Anolis sagrei: one gene and its partners. The protein of the gene in region 1 interacts with the protein of each later gene in a pairwise test. Links are inferred from orthologs where the notes say so. Each region holds a gene or a part of one and is shown on either strand. Other genes may lie near its edges.

The links.
Region 2: the proteins of MCMBP (region 1) and ASL interact in binary tests that used the Homo sapiens proteins (3 or more experiments, as listed by UniProt). The two-hybrid records come from large-scale screens. The link is inferred for Anolis sagrei from reciprocal best matches to the Homo sapiens genes MCMBP and ASL.
Region 3: the proteins of MCMBP (region 1) and PRTFDC1 interact in binary tests that used the Homo sapiens proteins (3 or more experiments, as listed by UniProt). The two-hybrid records come from large-scale screens. The link is inferred for Anolis sagrei from reciprocal best matches to the Homo sapiens genes MCMBP and PRTFDC1.

Annotation. Positions count from the first base shown.
Region 1 is NC_090023.1:201,874,523-201,881,549, reverse strand, and holds the start of MCMBP (mini-chromosome maintenance complex-binding protein), read right to left. Parts: upstream 3,125-7,027; 5' UTR 2,967-3,124; coding exon 2,909-2,966; intron 1-2,908. Other genes in the region: SEC23IP (SEC23-interacting protein), read left to right, coding at 3,283-3,457. UniProt on the Homo sapiens protein: Associated component of the MCM complex that acts as a regulator of DNA replication.
Region 2 is NC_090031.1:27,643,227-27,650,876, reverse strand, and holds the start of ASL (argininosuccinate lyase), read right to left. Parts: upstream 3,103-7,650; 5' UTR 2,953-3,102; intron 2,146-2,952; 5' UTR 2,050-2,145; intron 1-2,049. Other genes in the region: CRCP (DNA-directed RNA polymerase III subunit RPC9), read left to right, coding at 3,796-3,803, 6,885-6,921, 7,335-7,433.
Region 3 is NC_090026.1:109,359,253-109,366,898, reverse strand, and holds the start of PRTFDC1 (phosphoribosyltransferase domain-containing protein 1), read left to right. Parts: upstream 1-4,544; 5' UTR 4,545-4,796; coding exon 4,797-4,871; intron 4,872-7,646. UniProt on the Homo sapiens protein: Has low, barely detectable phosphoribosyltransferase activity (in vitro). Binds GMP, IMP and alpha-D-5-phosphoribosyl 1-pyrophosphate (PRPP). Is not expected to contribute to purine metabolism or GMP salvage.

The sequences.
Region 1 (7,027 bases):
GGGGCTACAAAGTAGAGTCCATGACACACAAGTGTGGAGAAGAGCAAACCACAGACCACCTACTACAATGTAGCCTGAACCCTAACACATGCACAATGGAAGACCTTCTCATAATGACACCAGAGGCACTCCAAGTGGCCAGCTTTTGGTCAAAGGAAAATTAGTATAACGCCAAGTTTTTAACTTTGTGGCTTTTTTATACATTAAAAGTGTATTCTTAATTTGCTTCCGACATGATGAAAAAACCGAAACAAACTACAGTACACTATTACTGCATTTGTGGTCACACAATGAATATTTAGAGGAGTAGTTCTCAACTTGTGGATCCCCAGATGTTTTGGCCTTCAACTCCCAGAAATCCCAACAGCTGGTAAACAGGCTGGGATTTCTGGGAGTTGTAGGCTAAAACACCTGGGGACCTACAGGTTGAGAACCACTGATTTATATCAATCTTACTCAACATGCTCCCCCAATACACTCATGACAACTCCATTATGGATGAAGATGATGGTATTTATAATTTAACACAACTATATGAAGGATATAATGTTGAGAAAAACTGATAATCCATCAACTGCATAGCACAGATATTTATATTTCTTGGCATCATTAATAACCTATGGTTATTAATAAAGTGATGGGATGTGGGTGTCCTATTTATCCTGTCTAAATGAGACCACTTGAAGAAATACTTCTAGTTCAGCAAACTGACTAGTCCACTAATGTTGTCTACCAAATGACTACTTTGTTCTGAAAATTTTAGGCACTTTGATTTCAAACAGATTTCAGTGCTGCTACATTTAAGAAACATGTTGAAGGATTTTTTCAAAGAACTGTGTTAATAAGTATAGAATTTGTTGAGCAAAAGATTTAGGAACCCAGAGATCAAAGGATTATATTTCTGGATAGTGAAAGGTCTACTAAACTGCAGGGTAGCATAAAATATATTAATATGTGTTGCAGCAACTAACTATGATGCGTACTTGTTGAATCCCTTTTCTTAAGAATTTAAATTGATCCACTTTGTGAGATACAAATACCCCACTTAGATTAGTACCGGATATTCCAAGGAAAGAAAACAAATAAAACATGACACTGCCTGATTAGTACCTAGCTTTGACACGCACCAGCCTCAGGGCCAATCACCTTATTTTGACCTCTTCAAGCATGCCTGTTTAGTGATTACACTCTCAAAAGAGGGGCAGACAGTACTTAAGTCTGCCTGGAAGCCTCAGCACATGACTTAAAAGCCATCTCCTTTGTTTTAGATCTCGTTTGCTGTGACATGCTGTGGTTTTGTGTCAGATAATAATAATAATAATTTTATTCCCACGTTTTGTCATGGCTTGAGGTCAGTTTCCAAACAATTAAAATATATAAGCATAGCAAAAACACTACAAATGCACACACTAAAATGCACCTACACAAAAGTTACACATGAAATCGAATCTCTACAAAATACATACTAAAACATACAAAACAGAGATCAAGCAAAGGATACTTAAAAGTCATGTTTAAAGACTGAGTAGGCCTGCCAGAAGAGATAAGTCTTCACTCATGTCTTAAACGACTGGCAGGTCGTCCCACAGACTTGGGGTGGCTGATGAAAAGGTCCTCTGGGTAGTGGCTGCCAGTTGGGTTCTGGCTGGTTGGAGCAGACACCCCCCAGAAGACCAGAGTGTGTGGGGCGGATTGAATGGGAGAAGGCAATCCTTTGGGTAAACTGGACCCAAACCATGTAGGGCTTGAAAAGTCAAAACCAAAACCTTGCACTTTGCTTGGAAACTAATTGGCAGCCAGTGGAGTGACTTTAGGATGGGTGTGATATGCTCACTCCTAGATGTTCCTGTAACCAATCTGGCTGCTGTATTTTGAATCAGCTGGAATTTCCGAACTTGGTACAAGGATAGCTCAATGTAAAGCACGTTGAGGTTACTATGCTACTCTGCTGCTGAGTATGCATGCCCAGTGTGGAACACATCTCACTATGCTAAAACAGTAGATGTGGCTCTTAATGAGACATGCCGCATTATCATGGGGTGTCTACGCCCTACACCACTGGAGAAATTACACTGTTTAGCAGGTATTGCACCACCTGACATCTGCTGGGAAGTAGCAACCAATAGTGAAAGGACCAAGGCAGTGACATCTCCAGCTCATCCCCTGTTTAGATATCAGCCAGCACATCAACGACTTAAATCAAGAAATAGTTTTCTAAGATCTACAGAGACACTCACTGGAACACTTCAGCAAGCGAGAGTCCAAAAGTGGCAGGCTCAAACCCAGAACCTCAACCAATGGCTGATACCAAATAAAAGCACACAGAAAACTGGGCGACTTGGAAGGTGTTGAACAGACTGCGCTCTGGCACCACGAGTTGCAGAGCCAACCTTAAGAAATGGGGCCGCAAAGTGGAATCCACGACATGCGAGTGTGGAGAAGAGCAAACCACTGACCACCTGCTGCTATGCAACCTGAGCCCTGCTACATACACAATGGAGGACCTTCTTATAGTAACACCGGAGTGGCCAGGTACAGGTCAAAGGCCATTTAATCAACTACCAAGGTTGCAAACTTTGTGTTCTGTTTGTTTGTTAAAAAATGCAATGCAACTGTTTGGTCTGTTCCTGACACGATAAATAAATATATCTGGCAGTGTGGACACGTATAATCCAGTTTAAAGCAGAACACCCCCCAGATTATCAAGACAGATAACCCACAATGAGGCCCCCTCCACACATTGAACTGGATTACCTGAGTCCACACTGCCATCTAATCCAGTTCAATGTGTGGAAGGGGCCTCAGTCTTGTCTTTCAGCTTTTTGTTGCTGTTTCCCTCCCCGTGGGCCTGAAGTCACAGCCTCTTCTCTCTTCCTCCCTCTGCTCCCTTCCCTTCCTTCTTCCTCACCGAAGACGCCCTGCACGATGCTGAGGGGGCAGTTCAGCCAGTCCGCCACACACGGCATTTCCCCGCTTCTGGGAAGTCTTCAGGCCGGGGACAAGAAGCGGAAACGGAGGCACGAATGGCTCCAAACACGGAGGAAGCAAACAAGCCGAGTGTCTGCTCCCTTCCTCCTCCTCCTTCTCAGGGCTGAGGCGATGGCAGCGTAAGCCACGCCTCTTCCTCTCTGCTCAGCGCGGGCTCAGGTTGGCGCGAGAGGAAAGCGGAAGTCGGTCGCGGCGCCATCTTGGATTCGGGCGGAAGAGGCCGGCCGGAAGCGCTGAGGGACAGAAAGAGACAGAAAGCGAAGGCTGAGACGTGGACTGTGGAGAGAGTGAGACATGGCTGCCCCGAAAGCCTCCGTGGCCGCGGGAGGCCTCTCCTCCGGCGCGAATAGCGGCACCAACTTGCTCTTCTCTTCGTCAGCGACTGAGTTCAACTTCACCGTCCCCTTCATCCCGGTCAGCCAGGCCCCAGCGCCGCCCCCGCCGCCTCCTCCTGGCCTCCTGCCCTCAGGTGAGCCCAGACCCAAGAAGGAGAAGGCGGCCTTGGAGCGGAAAGCATCGCGCCTCCGGGGATGCTTGTTATGTTAGACCTCTTCCACACAGCGGAATAAATCCCCAAATTATCTGCTTTGAACTGGGATATGTGGCAGTGTGGACTCAGATAACCCAGTTCAAAGAAGATCTTGTGGGATTTTCTGCCTTGATATTCTGGGTTATATGGCTGTATGGAAGGACCCTGTGAATGTCAATCTATATCAGTGGTTCTCAACCTGGAGGGGTCACGAGGGAGTGTCAGAGGGGTCACTAAAGACCACCAGAAAACACAGTATTTTCTGTTGGTAATGGGGGTTCTATGTGGGAAATTTGGCCCAATTCTGTCGTTGGTGGGGTTCAGAATGCTCTTTCATTGTAGGTGAGCTACAAATCCCAGCAACTACAACTCCCAAAATGTCAAGGACTATTTCCCCCAAACTACAACAGTGTTCACATTTGGGCATATTGAGTATTTGTGCCAAGTTTGATCCAGATCCATCATCGTTTGAGTCCACGGTGCTCTGGATGTAGGCGAACTACATCCCCAAAACTCAAAGTCAATGCCCACCAAACCCTTCCAGTATTTTCTGTTGGCCATGGGAGTTCAGTGTACCAAGTTTGGTTCAGTTCTATCGTGCAGAATGCTCGTTGATTGCAGGTGAATTACAAATCCCAGCAACCACAACTCCCAAATGACAAAATCAAGCCCCCCCCCCCAAACCCACCAGTATTCAAATATGGGCGTATCAAGTATTTGTGCCAAATTTGGTCCAGTGAATGAAAATACATCCTGCATATCAGATATTTACATTAGGCTTGGTAACAGTAGTAAAATGACAGTTATGAAGTAAGAAGGAAAATAATTTTATGGTTGGGAGTCATCACAACATGAGGAATTGTATTAAGGGGTCACAGCATGAGGAAGGTTGAGAACCCCTGATCTATGTAAATACAAATGTGATGTTAGTTTGTGGGATTAACAGAACTCAAAAACCACTGGACGAATTGACACCAAATTTGGACACAAGACACTTAACAACCCAATGTATGTCCTTCACTCAAAAAAAATTGATCTTGTCATTTGGGAGTTGTAGTTGCTGGGATTTATAGATCACCTACAATCAAAGAGCATTCTGAACCCCACCAACCATGGAATTGAACCAAAATTGGCACCCAGTTCTCTCATGAGCAACAGAAAATACTGGAAGGGTTTGGTGGGCAGTGTCCTTTGGTTTTGGAGTTGTAGTTCACCTACATCCAGAGAGCACTGTGGACTCAAACAAGGCTTTGCTCCTTCCTGGAGGATTGTACCCAGATGGTGATGCTGAGGAACACCTGTTTCGATCCCTGGAGATTGACCTGTGGGGTCCTGCAAGGTTCCATTCTTTCCCCCATGCTTTTCAATATCTACATGAAACCGCTGGGTGAGGTCATCCAGAGTTTTGGAATTGGGTGTCATCTCTATGCAGATGATACACAACTCTTCTACTCTTTTCCACCCCAGTCCAAGGAAGCTTCCCAGATCCTGGACCAGTGTCTGGTAGCTGTGATGGATTGGATGAGGGCCAACAAGCTGAGACCTCATCCTAACAAGACAGAGGTTCTTCTGGTCAGTTGCGAGACCAATTGGGGCATAGGGTGACAACCTGTGCTCAACGGGGTTACACTTCCCTTAAGACACAGGTCTGCTGTCTGGGGGGTCCTCCTGGACTCATCATTGACACTTGAAGCTAGGTGTTGGCAGTGGCCGGGAGGGCCTTCACACAATTAAAACTTGAGTGCCAGCTGCAACTGTACCTCGAAAAGCATGACTTGGCCATGGTAGTCCATGCCCGAGTTACATCTAGAGTGGACTATTATGATGCACTCTACGTGAGGTTCAGAAATTTCAATTAGTGCAAGATCAGCTGCCAGATTACTAACTGGAGCTAGCTATAGGGAACATACTGTGCCCCTATTAAAGCTGCTTCATTGGCTTCTGATAATTTTCTGGGCTCAATTCAGTTCTAGCTTAAAAACGTGGATTTTTGAACAGGTAGTTTCGCTTTGCATAGGCTGAAATGGTCCTATATTAGAATGACACTTTGGCACTTTAGTTGTGTATTCATGGTAGCTAGTTTTAACCATTGATGGGAATTGTTTTTAAATTGTGGATTTTATTTTATGTGTTGATAGTGGTTTATAACTTTTATGTGAAATTGTTTTATACTCATGTACTGTTGATGTTTATACTGCACTTGCAGTGCCTTTTTAGCCTCCCTGAGTCCCTTTTTGGGAGATGGGAGGTGGGATATAAATAACAATTATATTATTATTAGTATTATTAGTTTCAGAATAATATGCTGTCATATTATCCAGTTCAGTGTGTTGCTCAAGATTTTTACTAATGATACTTTATGAATGTTCATTATATGAGTGTATGAATGTTCATTATAGTAAATGATTTTTACAGAGGAAAGTTGATATTGTTGAGCTAGTGGAGCTAGAAATTGTGTTCCTGCTCTGTGACAGCTTTAAAAAAGTGAGTAGCAGTACAGTTAGTTTAGAAGTGTGTTTTCAGATGTCAACACTTCTTGCTTCCAGCAGCGAATGTCTTTATAGGATTCTTTGTATGTACGTGTTGCATATTTGAATAATTGTAATAATTGGGCTTTGTGGGAGTGGCCACTTTTAATTTGTGTAGGATTGCTATGTTCTTCCCCCTCTTGTTACATTAATTATTGATCTATAGTTTTTCCTGATACCTGCGTTCCTTAAGTACAGGGACTCAACATGTGGGGATATATTTGAGCTGTCCATGCTTGCTGAAGTGAAATATTTCTACTAATTAAATTAAAGAAAATGTAACTTCAACACCAGATTTGAGGGCGGATTTGTTTGTTACTGAGTTTATAAAACCCAACATTCAGTGTTTTGGTAGAAGCAAAACATTTTTCTAGAATTCCTCATATTTACTCGAGTCTAATTGCTAATAAATCTAATATGCACCTCAGTTTTCAAATCCTTGAAACCAAAAAAAAAATTAAATTGCTGGCAAATGTAATGTGTAGTGGCAAAAGGCATTCTTTGTCATTTGGCCAAAAGTGCACATTAGGGTGCATACTTATCATTCCCTCTTTAAAAATAAAAGTGTTGGAACACCAAAGCTTTCAGCAATGGAAAAGATATCCTTTGTAGTTTATTCATTCAGTCGCTTCTGATTCTTTGTGACCTCACGGACCAGCCAAGGCCAGAGCTCCCTGTTAGCTGTGGCCACCCCCAGTTCCTTCAAAGTCAAGCCAGTCACTTAAATGATACCATCCATCCATCTTGCTTTTGGTTGGCCCCTCTTCTTTTTTCCTAAGATGTCCTAAGATATCTTTGGGATGGATCTGTGCTGTAGAATAAATCCACTTTGACTGCCTTGGCTCAGTGCTATGGGGTCATTAGGGCTGTAGTTTGGAATCATGGGGGCTGCCAAAGAATGCTGATGCCTCACCAAACTACAAATTCCAGGATTGCATAGCATTAAGCCATGACAGTTAAATTAGAGATGACATCCATCTCC
Region 2 (7,650 bases), on another chromosome or scaffold:
CAGCCCAGGAATCTGGAGGTCCACGTGATGGCCACCCATTTTCTCGTGTCTTCAGCAACCTCTTTCTATGGATAAGCCCTTTGTGTGATACGTGTTATTCTTACATTGACGTATAGAAAAACGGTTGCCCCGCTCAATGGGGGGAAAGCAACAAAAAGGGAGCCAATAAAGGAAAGGGTCCAGTCTGCATTTCCTGCGTGAATGGCAGGGTCAGCGCCCTCGTTTCCAAAGCAAGGATGACAAGGGAGCCAAAAAGACAAAGCCACCCATGAGGCCGCTGGGCATTGTGTTTCCTGAATGAGCCAGAAAGAAAGGAAGGAAGGGATGAAAAGAGAGGAAGAAAAAAGGGGCTTCTCTCCAGCCCTCCATCTATCTATCTATCCATCCATCCATCCGCTGAGTTGGCACACTTTCCCCAGGCATGAATGGGGGCCCCCCTGCATGCGTGTGCGCTTTCCAATTCTGTCCCTTGCACGCACGCACAACACGGAAAGACTTTGGAGCCATCAGCAAATACTCCTACTAATAAAAAGGTAAAGGTCAAGGTTTTCCCCTTGACATGAAGTCCAGCCATGTCCGACTCTCGGAGTTGGTGCTCATCTCCATTTCTAAGCCAAAGAGCCGGCATTGTCCATAGACACCTCCAAGGTCATGCGGCTGGCATGACTGCATGGAGCACTGTTACCTTCCTGCTGAAGAGGTACTCACATTTGCATGTTTTTAAACTGCTAGGTTAGCAGAAGCTGGGGCTCATAGCGGAGCTCACCCCAATCCCCGGATTTGAACCGCCATCCTTTTATTCAACAAGATCAGCAGCTCAGCGATTTAACCCGCTGCACCACTGGGGCTCCTATTAATACTACTACTAATAATAATGGCACTATCTTTCATGAGAAAGAGAGAGGTGGAAAAGGGCACAAAGGTGTGTAAGAAGGAAGGAAGGAGAGAGAGAGAAGGAAAGAAGGAATGAAAAGAAGGAAGGAAGGAAGGAAAGAAAGAAAGGAGGGAAGAAAGAAGAGAAGGAAGGAAAGAAGGAAGGAGAGAAGGAAGGAAAGAAGGAGGGAAGGAAGGAGAGAAGGAAGAAAGGAGAGAGAGAAGGAAGGAAAGAAAGAAGGAGAGAAGGAAGAAAGGAGGGAGAGAAGGAAGGAAAGAAAGAAGGAAAGACAAAAGGAGGGAAGGAAGGAATAAGGATGGAGAGAAGGAAGGAAGGAGAGAAAGAAGAAAAGAGGGAGACTAGGAAGGAAGGAAGGAAGGAAGGAAGGAAGGAAGGAGAGAAGAAAGGAAAGAAGGAGGGAAGGAAGGAGAGAAGGAAGAAAGAAGGGAGAGAAGGAAGGATGGAAAGAAAGAAAGACAGAAGGAAGGAAGGAAGGAAGGAAGGAAGGAAAAATTAAGGATGGAGAGAAGGAAGGAAGGAGAGAAAGAAGAAAGAAGGGAGAGAAGGAAGGAAGGAAAAAAGGAGGGAGGGAAGGAAGGAAGGAAGGAAGAAGGAAGGAAGGAGTGAAGGAAAGAAAAAAGAAGGAAGGAAGAAGGAAGGAAGGAAGGAAGAAAAGAAGAAAGGAGAGGAAGGAAGAAAGGAGGGAGAGAAGGAAGGAAGGAAGGAAGGAAGGAAGGAAGGAAGGAAGGAAGGAAGGAAGGAAGGAGAGGCTCCTTTCCCTAAAGCCGGAAATACACATGATATGATATGGTATAATAAGATACGATAAAGGAGCCCCCAGTGGCACAGTGAGTTAAACCGCTGAGCTGTTGAACTTGCTGAGTGAAAGGTTGGTGGTTCGAATCCAGAGAGTGGAGTGAGGTCCTGCTGTTAGCCCAGCTTCTGCCAACCTAGCAGTTCGAAAACATACAAATGTGAGTAGATCAATAGTACTGCTTCAGCGGGAAGGTAAGGGTGCTCCATGTAGTTATGTCAGCCACTTGGCCTTGGAGGTGTCTACGGATAACTCTGGCTCTTCGGCTTGGAAATGGAGATGAGTACCAGCCTCCAAAGTTGGACACAACTGGACTTAATGTCAGGGGAAAACCTTTACCTTGTACTAAGATATGATATACCTATGAATTGGACCTCCGTCACAGATGCTGAAAGGCCTGGACCATCTAAAAGGGAAGAATAGCAGGCCTCCTCCTCCTCCATGGGCGCTCAAAAGCCTTAATAATATAAAAGGAAATAAGAGGTGTTTGTTAATGCCCTTAGACCACAGTTCATTTGCATACAAAACAAGTCAACACAACACAACACAATTGGCATCTAGATCTGGCCTAGTAACCTTCAATGGCATGAAAGGTGGGAGAGATGCCAATGTTTTGCACTGATTCGCTGCCAAAAAGGGCTGCTGCCAAGTCCGACCTCTTCCATGGACGCTAAAAGGAAATCATAGGAGAGTTCTTAAATGTTCTTAAAGGCCATAGAAGTCAATGCAAGGCAGCAGGCTCTCCCTTCATTCAAAGTATCTATAGGGTTAAGTAGATGGAGTAATAATAATAATAATAATAGTCTCTTAATTAACTGCCCCCCATGGGAATTGGTAGATATGCAATAATAATAATAATAATAATAATAATAATAATAATCTTTCAATCAACTGGCCCCCATGGGAATTGGTAGATATGACACAATAATAATAATAATAATAATAATAATAATAATAATAATAGTCTTTCAATTAACTGGCCCCCATGGAAACTGGTAGATATGCCATGATAATAATAATAATAATAATAATACTGTTTGGATCGTCGATGTTGCAATTCCAGGCGATAGCAGGATTGAAGAGAAAAAAAATGAGGATTTAAAGATCGATCTGCAAAGACTCTGGCCGAAGCCAGTCAAGGTGGTCCCAGTGGTGATTGGCACACTGGGTGCAGTGCCTCAAGACCTTGGCCTGCACTTAAACACAATCCGCGCTGACAAAATTATCATCTGCCAGCTGCAGAAGGCCTTTGAGGGGAATTTACCTTGATTTGAGGGAGTTGTAGTTCACCTATATCCAGGGAGCACTGTGAACCCAATGATGGATCTGGACCAAACTTGGCATGCATACCTGATATGCCCAAATTTGAATATTGGTGAGTTTTGAGGGGAATTCGTCTGTGTACTTTGGAGTTATAGATCCTGGGATTTATAGTTCACCTGCAATCAAGGAGTACTCTGAACTCCACCAATGACGGAATTTGACCATACTTGGCAAACAAAGCCCCCATGACCAGCAAAAAAAAACACTGGAGGCTTTGGAGGGATATTCACCTTGATTTGAGGGAGTTGTAGTTCACCTACATCCAGAGAGCACTAATGGATCTGGGCCAAACTTGGCACACAGACCTGATAGGCCGAAATTTAATGGCTGGAGGGGTTTGGGGGGAACTGACCTTCCTTTCTGCGGATTGGTAGATGCTATAAGAAGAAGAAGAATATATAATAATAATAATAGATTGTGAAGTGGGGCTTCTGATAGAAGTATCACAGCCCTAGACTCCAGTGGCTATTCTCCCGCCAAAAGTCTTGCAAGTGAAAGGCATTCTGGGAGTTGTAGTCCTTGAAGAAAGCGCCCTCCCTTCAGCCGGCCGTCTTCCCTCGCAAGGGCCACGCCTTCCCGCCTTCATCTCCCGGCGTCCTTAGCGCCTCGCTTTCTGCCTCATGCTTGAAGCCCCGCCCCCTTTCCTACCCTGCTTGTCTCCGCCCCCTTTCTCCTCTGTCTCGAAGCTCCACCCCTTTCCCAGTCTCCGCCCCTTTCCTCTCAGTCTCCTCCTCTTCCGGCCTGAAGTCCCGCCTTTTCCCTAATTCTCCTCCTGGGAAGCGAGATGGAAGTGTAAGTTGGAGGGAGGGAAGGAGGGGAAATGGCAGGAAAGCCAGGCCCAGGAGGCGAACCCGAGGGAATCTGAATTATTAATATGTATGTTTTGTTGCTTATAGAATTATTCATATTAAGCTATAGAGAGGAAATAGGATATATTAAGCCATAGAGAGGAGATGATGCTTCTACTATATATACATTTATATGTTCTATTTATATATGTATAACAGATTAAAATACAGAAATGTATATATTAATATATAATACATTATATATACTATACACATGTTAATATATATAGAGAGGTATATTACTTATATGCTTATATAGAATTCATATATATATATATATCACATTATATTAATATAATACTAAAATAATGTATGCAATATTATTTATATATGTATAACATTAAAATAAAGTAATGTATATATATATATAATACATAATATATACTACACACATATAAATGTATATAGAGAGGTATATTACTTAAATGCTTATATAGAATTCATGTATATACATATCACATTATATTAATATAATACTAAATATATGCAATATATGCTTTAATATATATTATATTAATCTGTATTAGAGAGGGATATTGCTTATATATGCATACATATCACATAATATATGCAATTATGTGATATCTATATATATAAGACATACATTATTTTAATATTAATATATAAAAATAATGTATCATATATATATATATACTTTAATGTATAGAGGGGATATTGATTAGATGCATATATATACACACACACACACACACACATACACATCACTTAATATATATTTATAATATATTAATATACATATATTAAAATAATGTATGTATAATATATATTGTTTAATGTACAGAGAGGGCTATTAATTAGATGCTTATATACATATATATTAATATAACAAAATAAAGTAATGTATGTATAATATATGTACTAACATTTATACATACATGTCACATATATATTAAAATTATATATATATATATATATATACACACATACATACATATACTGTATAGAGAGGGAGGGATAATGCTTATATGTCATATTATATATATACTATATTAATATATTAAAATGTATGTATTATATATATATATATACACTTTAATATATAGAGAGGGATATTGATGAGATGTTTACATACATATATGTACATATATATACACATACATATCACTTAATATATTAATATATAAGATAAAGCAATGTATGTATAATATATATATATATATATAAATTTTATATTATTAATTGTAATATCAATAATATGTAGGTTTTGTTGGTTCTTTTGCCGACCAAAAAGCCAACCACACACACACAGACATATATATCTATCTCCCCATAGGATTCCTCTTCATTCGAGCTTCCCAAGACTCCCAAAGAATTAAATATACAGTATAACATATATGGAGCAAAGCCACTGCTACGGCTGACGTGTCTTTGGGGTCAGCACAAAAAACGAAAACTCCCTTCTCAGCATATTTCCGGAAGGGGAGCCCCTCTTTTTTTTTGAATCCCCCCGATTTGTTTTTTTTAAAAAACAAAACACCAAAACAATGCGCCCAACCTGTGGAAGTTTGTGGAAGAGGCGGCGTGGAACTTGCCCCGAAAGTGATGAGCGCAGCGGGTTCGATTCAGAACTAAATCAAATACATTGTGCTTTTAGGTACGTGCGGGGCCCCCCGAGAAGCGCTTTTTGTGGCCGCCGCACTGTTGTTGTTTCTGCGCTCTTTGCTGGCTCAGCAGAAAAAAGGCCTTTGTCTCTGGGATGTATGGATGGATGGAGGGGGCCCTTCCGCACGGCCCTTCGGTGTTTTTGTTAATAGATAGATAGATAGATAGATAGATAGATAGATATGAACAAGATTCAGTTATGAACAAGATTCAGTCGGTTTGTTATTAAGGTGATCCATCATCTGTTAACTATCTATCTGTATCAATCCTCTCTCAACTATTTACCTTCTGTTAACTATCTATCTATCACCTGTCCGTCAATCATCTGCCAACTATATGTATCATCTGGTTTATTAATCATCTGCCAATTATTTATCTGTCTATCTTTCTATTATCTATCATCTGTCCATCAATCATCTACCAATTATCTATCTATGTATCTATCATCTGCCAACTATTTATCTATCATCTATCTATCATATGTCTATCAATCACCTGTCAACTATCTATCTATTAGTGTTTGTCTTCTCTCAACTCATTTTTCTATCTGTATTAATCATCTGTCAATCATCGAGCTATACAGATAAATCATCTCATATATCATCTATATCAATAATCTCTCAACTATCTTATCATCTGTCAACTATCATCTATTTATCAATGATTTGCCAACTATTATCTGTCTGTTTATCAATCATCTGTCAACAGTTTATCAACTATCAATTATCTGTCATCTATCTATCTATCTATCTGTTATCTATCAATCATCTATCGATTATCTGTCATCTATCTTTCATCTGCCTATCAATCTCCTGTCAACTATATTTCTGTTATGTTTCTATAACCTATCAATTATCTGTCAACTATCTATCTATCCATCTATTTATTATCTATCAATCATCTGTCAACAATCTGTCCTCTATCTTTCATCTGTCTATCAATCTCCTGTCAACGATCTTTCTGTTATGTTTCTATCATCTATCGATCATCTGTCAACTATCTTATCTTTCTATCTATAATTCTATTATCTTTAATCATCTGTCAACTATCTGTCATCTATCTTTCATCTGTCAGCTATCTTTGTTATGTTTCTATCTATTATCTATCAATCATCTGTCAACTATCTGTCAACTATCAATTATTTGCCAACTATCTATCATCTATCAATCATTTGTCTATCAATCACTTGTCAACTGTCTATCATCTATCTATCTTTTCATTTGTCTGGATTTTCCCAGCGTTCCTCTGGACACACATTATCTGACTTCAGCAAAATCTGGCTCGAAATGAGGAAGCTGCCCTTTAAGAAAATATCTCCTTTGGGCTTTGAAAACAGTCTGTCTTCTTGAGCCAGGATCGCCTGCATAAAGGCCTAATCCTGCCTGTTTGTTTTGTTGTGCAGGAAAGACGGAAATGCAGCCCTTCTGAGCAACTATGAGGTAAAACCATTTGTGGCATAATTAATTGGACTTCTGATGCCTTGTGTTTCATCTCTGCTCTGTGTATTTTCATATGCATTTTATCAAAGTACATTTCTATATGTGCATTTATAAGTTTTTACTATGTTTATGTGTTTTGATTATGCCGTAACCTGCCTTGAGCCAGGTTGCCCAAAGGCCCTCTCATAGAATGGCCATTTTGGAGCGTTTCGGATTCCCGGATAAGGGAGCTTCACAGTTGAAATGGGACCAAAGCGCTCTAAAAGTGCCATGCAGAACGGTCCCAGCAGAGGGTGGGAAACTCAACGGCGCCTCTCTTTTCCTGGCTTGGTTTACATAGCAATCGCGGATGGGAATGTTGTTGGAAAGTGCTTTGCGGCCCCCGTGAAAGAGCAAATCGGGTTTCCTTTCAGGTCTACCAGCTGCTGATGGACCTGAAGCAGCAGCGGCGAGAGATGGGGAAGAGCAAAGCGAGCGCCGGGCAGCAGAACCTGAACACCATCATGTACGAAGTGAGTCCTTTCGGGGGGTTCCTGGTATCCGTGGACATAGAAAACCCTCTGGTTTTGTTGCCTCTCTCTCTCACGCTATGTTTTCTTCCCTTGGAAAAATCCCCATTCTGACATGTGCGTATTCTTCCCGTTGATGACAGCATGCTTGTGCCGATGTGTTCGTTGTGAGCATCGTTGGGCACTTTTCTGTTGTCTCAGAAACTCCCTGCCATCCGAG
Region 3 (7,646 bases), on another chromosome or scaffold:
ACTTTTCTGTTAAATATGCATAAACTTGTGCTATATGTTGTATACCCAGGGCCAGCCCAAGATATTTCACCATCTAGACAGTTTCTCAAGTTGCTCCTGACAAGAAAATAAAATAAAATCTCAGCACATAACAAATGACATCCTCCACCCACTGAGATAGTCAATAGAACTCAGTGCCAACAGAATGATTTGGGTTCAAAAGTCAAAACAATTCATAAAGATCCTTCCTCATTCTTGGCAATAAAAATCTAATCATGATAACGTTCCTGTTATGATGCTGAAATCTGCACATGGCATAGCAACACTGGCCCCTTCTACAGAGCTTTATAAAATGCAGATTATCTGCTTTGATTATATGGCAGTTTACTCAGATAATCCCATTCAAAGCAGATAGTGTGGATTATTTGCCTTGATATTCTGGATTATATTACAGTGTGAAATGACCTCTGCATACCACTTTCGTAGACCTCCTGGATAACACAAGCTAATAGATCAGAAAGAAAAGGATTTGAGTTCTTATAATGGCAGTGACTTGAAACAGCAGTGTGTGGCTAAAGGCCCTTCTACACAGCCCTATATCCTAGAATATCAGGGCAGGAAATCCCACATTTTCTGAGTGTTGACTCAGATAACCCAGTTGAAAGCAGATGATATGGGATTTTCTGCCCTAAGATTCCTTCTTTTCATTATTGTTTAGTGACATTTAAAGTGATGGTGGACAAGTGCAACTCATTGGGTCTTTGGGTCCTTCCACACAGCCCTATATCCCAGAATATCAAGGCAGAAAATCCCACATTATCTGAGTGGACTCAGGGTCCTTCCACACAGCCCTGTATCCCAAAATATTAAGGCAGGAAATCCCAGAATATCTGCTTTGAATTGGGTTATCTGAGTCCACACTCAGATAGGATTTTCTGCCTTGATATTCTGGGATATAGGGCTGTGTGGAAGGGCCCTCAGATGACCCAGTTCAAAGCAGATATTGTGGGATTTTCTGCCTTGATGTTCTGGGATATTGGTCTGTGTGGAAGGGTCCACAGACACTACTAGGACTCTTTGTGACCATCAGGGGTCAAAATACTCTAAATTGTACCAAAATGACCTCTGGAGGACATTTCTCTTGTGTGTTCAGAGGACATCATTGAATGGTTTCATCCAACCAGGCTCTTCAATCAATTTGAACATTATGAAGGGAAGATGAAATCCCCTTGTGTACCTAGTCAAATGCCTGCCTCCCCCTCTGTTGGGATATTGGTAAGGCATATATATACTTTCCCCAGTTTTTTCTTCAGGGAAAGAAAAGCTGGATGCATGTGTCAAAAATGCCTCTAAAGGTGTAGAATTAATGCAGACTGGCACCACTTTTATTGGCAATTCAGTTTCATGATCTATGGGAATTACAGTCCAATAAATCTAGAGTGTATCATGTGAGACCAGGCTGTTGTATGCACTCATTGCTGAAAGGTATGGGAGTGTTTTTCAGGAAGCTGATTCTGTTCCAGGTACATTTGGCATTTTGATTGTATGTACTGTTCACCTAGACTTTCCAGGGCCCTTCCACACAATCCTATATCCCGGAATATCAAGGCAGGAAATCACACAATATCTGCTTTGAACTGGGTTATCTGAGTCCACACTCGGAATTTCTGCCTTGATATTCTGGGATATAGGGCTGTGTGGAAGAGCCCCCAGTCTTCTTGAACACCGAAAGAGAACAAGGCACTTCTTCCTGTTTGATGTTCATGGAAGTGTCTCTCAAATCAAACATAAAGCAGTCCTATCTCTTTCCACTTAAAACAGAAGTGTACTTTTTCATGAAGGTCATCACCAGGCTTGCCAGGCTTACTAGATCTTAAAGGGCAGTCCCTTATTGCGGGAAAATATCCCACATTCCAGGGGATGATTGCCTGGGATGTTCTGGGACCTCGGCCTCCTCCTTGGTATTTGACCTGAAGGCAAGGAGGGGACAGAGATGTCAATTGCTAAGGAGGAGTTGGGGGGGGGAGGGGCAGAAGTCCTGTCCATTGAAGTCCCTGGCCCACAAGCCCCCCCTCCCCCATGTCCCTTATTTTTCAGGAAGACACCTGACAACCCTGGTCATCGGTACTGCTGATTATATAGGAGGGGGGAAATGGTATAATGAAAACCATTTGAGCTACAGACACAAGGAAAACATTCCGTGCTTTCACTCTCCAGGAAGTTTGACAAAATACATTTTAGGGAATCTTAAGAATGTCGCTCCATCTATATTTGTATGTAAAAGAACAGCCAGCGATCAGAATTGCCAACTCATACACCCTTTTGGTATAGCAAAGGGAACAAAGGTGAATAAACACAACTGATTTTCATTAGAATTCTTCCTTTTATTAGAACCAAGGGACTACCAAGAACAAATGCCAAGTTAATTTTATGGGGCGATATGACTCTTGTTGCTGCTTGGCATATATTGACTCGCATAATAACCACATAAAACCACCTGAGATTCTTAGCCTACCTTATTATCAGTTCACCTAGAACTCATTAAAGGTACATATGGTATCTATTGCGGAGTGCAGCTTAACCAGTGTTATATTCGAGCTTGTAGTAGGAAACAGGAAATAAAATATGCTGGATGTTCTGGTATGGTTCAAAAAGGTAACAAACCCACTTTTATTGTTGCGGGTATACACCTCATATAAAGGGATGGATAGACAAAAGAAAGTTACCCAACTTTGTTACAGGACTCCCTAATGCTTTCTTGCCTTGTTTTCAAACTGTTTCCTAGATCTATGTAACTCAAGGTGTTTTTCTACCTGCCTTCTTTCTAGAAGTCATTGTTGTTGTTCATTTGTTCAGTCGCTTCTGACTCTTCGTGACCTCATGAAACAGCCCACGCCAGAGCTCCCTGTCGGCCGTCACCATCCTCAGCTCCTTCAAGGTCAAGCCAGTCACTTCAAGGACTGCGCTCTGACACCTTGAGATGCAGAACCAACCTTAAGAAATGGGGCCACCAAGTGGAGTCCACAACATGCGAGTGTGGACAAGAGCAAACCACAGACCACCTATTACAATGCAGCCTGAGTCCTGCCACATACACAATGGAGGACCTTCTTGCAGAAACACCAGAGGCACTCCCAAGTGCCAAGCTTTTTACTTTGTTTGCACTTTTAAATACATTACAACTGTATCCTCAATTTGCTTCTGACACGATGGCAAATCAGTGTTCAGAACAGCCTTTACTGAGCTGTTATTCTCGGTTCTTGAAGTTCTGCACCAGACTTCTCTGTATTTCTGCCTGTAACAAGACAGATATATAAACCCCACTTGTCCAAGTTTCCAACAGACCTTTCAACCTCTGAGGATGGCTGCGATAGATGTGGGCGAAACGTCAGGAGAAAGTACATCTGGAACATGGCCATACTGCCTGGAAAACTTACAGTAATCCACTACACACTTTGCTAACAGGTCCAAAGAGGGAGTCTCCTAAGCCAAGAAAGTGATATGGCTCCATATAACCAGGCTGCCTGTGTCTCTCTCAACAGAGGAAGTAGCTGTGGTTAAAAGACCCCTTTCTGAGTTGAGAAAGAGGTGCAGGATCTAAATCTAAATGGGATGCAACTAAGACATCTCTCAACTAAGGAAGGAGCAGATGCCAAAATGAACAAATTGGAGTCCAAAACACCTAGAGGGAAAGCTGAAGTTGGTCCATGTCTGGCATGGAGGCACCTTTCCTTGCCTTCCTTTTCTTTCCTTCCTTCCTCTTCTTTCTTCCCATGTGCCCCCCTTCCCTCCTTCCCCTTCCTTCCCTCACCTCCTTCCTTAACTTCCTACCCACCTTCCTTCCTTTCCCTTCCTTCCCCTCCTTGCTTCCCCCTCTCCGCTTCCTTCCTTTCCCTTCCCTTCCCTCCCTCCTTCCTCTTCCCTTCCCTCCTTCATTCCTTCCTTCCCTTCTCATCCTTCCTTCCTTCCCCTTCTCATACTTTCCCTTCCCTCCCTCCCTTCACTCATCTCCTTCTTTCCCATCTCCCTTTCTCTTCTCCCTTCCTTCCTTCCTCTTCCCCTTCCTTCCTTTCCCTTCCCTCCCTTCTTCCTTTTCCCTTCTTCATTCCTTCCTTCCCTTCTCATCCTTCCTTCCCTTCTCATCCTTCCTTCCTTCCCCTCCTCATCCTTTCCCTTCCCTCATCTCCTTCCTTCCCATCTTCCTTTCTTTTCTCCCTTCCTTCCTTCCGCTCCCTTTCCTTCCTCTTCCCCTTCCTTCCTTAACACTTTCCATCCAACTCTCCCCTTCTTTCCTTTCCCATCCTTCCCCTTCCCACCTTCCTTCCTTCCCCTCCCTTTGTCCTCCCCTTCCTTCCTTTCTTCCTACCTACTTTCCACCCCCCTCTCCCCTTCCTTCCTTTCCCTTCTTCTTCCTTCCTTTCCTTCCTTCTCTCACCTCTTTCCTTCCCTTTCCCTTCCATCCCCCTCTCCCCTTCCTTCCTTTCCCATCCTTCCCCTTCCCACCTTCCTTCCTTCCCTTCCCCTTCCCCTGCCTCCCTCCCTTCCCTCCTTCTCCTTCCCTCCAACTCGAGGCAGGCGCCGCCTCCTTTGCTTCTCCTTCGCTTTCTCCTTCCTTCCTTCCTTCCTTCCTCCTCCTCCTTTTCCACTCTGGGTCTGGAGGCTGGCGCCTAAGCCCGCCTCCTCGCAGCAAAGAGGCGCAGAAGGCCAGGCTGAGCGCTTTCCCTCGCTTTCCCTCCTAATCTTTTCACTTCTCCCTCTTCTTTCTTTCCTTCCTTTCTCCCCTTCTTCCTTTCTCCTCGAGGCTCCCTTCGCCGAAGATGGCCGGGCAAAGCATCGGCGAGGCCCCCAACCCAGCAGAGGCGCCGCGACGCAGCCGTGGCCGAGGGGTCGTGGTAAATTCAAAACCTCCTCCCTCCCTTTGCTTCCAAACACACAGTCAGTGAGTGCTGCCCTTGGGCCAGGCAGAACTCTCTCTCTCTTTCCTGCTGGTGCAGCCGAGGCATCCTCTGCCCGCCACGTTGTGTGTCTTCAGAGCTCACCCAAAGCTTCAGAAAGTAACTTGCAACGTGGGTTATATAATCCTCGTCCACACTAGCGAGGGAGAGATTCTGGAAGTTGCTGCTCCCAGGATTCCATAGCATTGAGCCATGGCAGCTAAAGTGGTGTCAAACTGCATTAATTCAACAGTGTAGATGCACCCATAGGAGGCTATTGTTATTTCCCTTTTACTCCTCACCCCACTCCCACTCTGTGCGTCATGCTGCTAAATGAATGCAGTTCAACAACACTTTAGCTCAGTGGTTCTCAACCTGTGGGTCTCCAGATGTTTGGGCCTTCAACTCCCAGAAATCCTAACAGCTGGGATTTCTGGGAGTTGTAAGCCAAAACACCTGGGGACCACAGATTGAGAACCACTGCTTTAGCTGTTACAAAACTATGAGTTGTTGGGTTGCTGTGAGCTTTCCAGGCTGTATGTCCATGTTCCAGAAGCATTCTCTCCTGACGTTTCTCCCACATCTATGGCAGGCATCCCCAGAGGTTGTGAGGCCATTTCTACAACAGTGGTTCCCAACCTTTGGGCCTACATGTGTTTTGGACTTCAGCTCCCACAGTTCCTAACAGTTGGCTACAGTATAGATGCACCCACATGAGGCTGTTATTTTGTCATTGTCCTCCCCCCCCCCCCAACTCACACTGTTGACTAAACAATATAAATACTTTGATTACATCTATACAGTCTGTCCCCCAAAATACATGTGCCCTTTAACACAGGCATGGTCAAACTTGGGCCCTCCATGTGTTTTGGACTTCAACTCCCACAATTCCTAATAGCTGGCACCAAGCACGTAGCCGGGGGAGGGGGGGGCTTGAGGGGCTTCAGCCCCCCCCCCCCCCAAATTCTCATGTTGGTCCACGAGGAGGCCTTACTGGTACATTATTTAAACTGTTATGTTTATTCATATCATGATCTGATCACCATGCTCAATATATCCCATATGCATGGGGGTATTGGGGTAACGATACAAAAGGTTTGCTAGGGTAGACCCTCTTTCACTCAGCCCCCCCCCCCCCCAATCAAACTCAGCTCCCCCCAAAACAAAATCCTGGCTACAGGCCTGGCCGGCACAGAAGCATTGTGCAAACTCTCTGCAAGAGAACAGAGAAGGGTGTACTGTGTAGGTCAGGCCTGGGCAAACAAGCCCTCCAATGTTTTGGACTTCAGCTCCCACCATTCCTAACAGCTGGCACAGATGCATTGGAAGCTTGTGCAAAATATCTGCAAGGGAAGAGAGAAGGGTGTTCTGTGTAGGTTAGACATGGGCAAACTTGGGCCCTCCAAGTGTTTTGGACTCCTACAATTCCTAACATCCTCAGGCCCCATACGTTTCCCACTCAGCCTCTTAAAGGGCCCAAGGCTCTTAGGAATGGTGGGAGATGAGATCCAAAACACCTGGAGGGACCAAGTTACCCCCTGCCTGCTTTAACAGCTAATGGTAGCTATGGTGACTATTTGAAATTGTTGTTGTTGTTGTTGTTGTTATTTGAAACACAACAAGACAAGTCAATGGCAGACAAGATCACTCTGCTGGCTGTTGCATTGGATCACACGTCGGACACTTCCCAAGTGTCTAGGACTGTGTGATGTATCGGCTAATAATGTGTGCAGATCCCAGTAAGGTGGCCTTCTGCAGCTGGCAGATGGTAATTGTGTCAGTGCTGATTGTGTTTAAGTGCAGGCCAAGGTGATTAGGCACTGCACCCAGTGTGCTGATCACCACTGGGACCACCTTGACTGGCTTGTGCCAGAGTCTTTGCAGTTCTAACTTTAAATCCTCATACTGTGCCAGCTTTTCCAGTTGTTTCTCTTCAATCCTGCTGTCACTGGGATTGCAACATCGACAATCCATACTTTGTTTTTTAACACGATTGTGAGGTCAGGAGTATTGTGCTCCAAAACTCTGTCTGAATTCGGAAGTCCCAGAGGAGTTTGACGTGTTCATTTTCTGTAACTTTTTCTGGCTTGTGATCCCACCAGTTCTTTGTGGCCGGCAGATGGTATTTGTGGCACAAGTTCCAATGAATAATCTGAGCAACAGTGTTATGCCTCTGCTTGTAGTCTGTCTGCGCGATCTTCTTGCAGCAGCTGATGATGTGATCTATTGTTTCACCTGCTTCCTTGCAGAGTCTACATTTGGGATCTGTTGTCGACTTTTCAATTCTGGCTTTGATGGCATTTGTTCTAATGGCATGTTCTTGGACTGCCAGAATCAGTTGTTGTTGTTGTTGTTGTTGTTGTTGTTGTTATCATCTTTATTTATATCCCACATTTCTCTCCATGGGGATTCAAGGCGGCTAACACATATACATTCATATTAAAGAATAAATGTTATAATAATTCCATCAGTTATGGGTTTCACCTTAAATTACAGTTTCATGTAAGGCAGAGGTTCTCAACCTGTGGGCCCCCAGGTGTTTTGGCCTAAAACTCCCAGGACTCTTCCACACAGCCCTTTATCCAGAATATCAAGGCAGGAAATCCCAAATTATCTGAGTGTGGACTCAGATAACCCAGTTCAAAGCAGATATTGTGGGATTTTCTGCCTTGATATTCTGGGATATAGGGCTATGTGGAAGGGCCACCAGAAATCCCAGCCAATTTACCACCT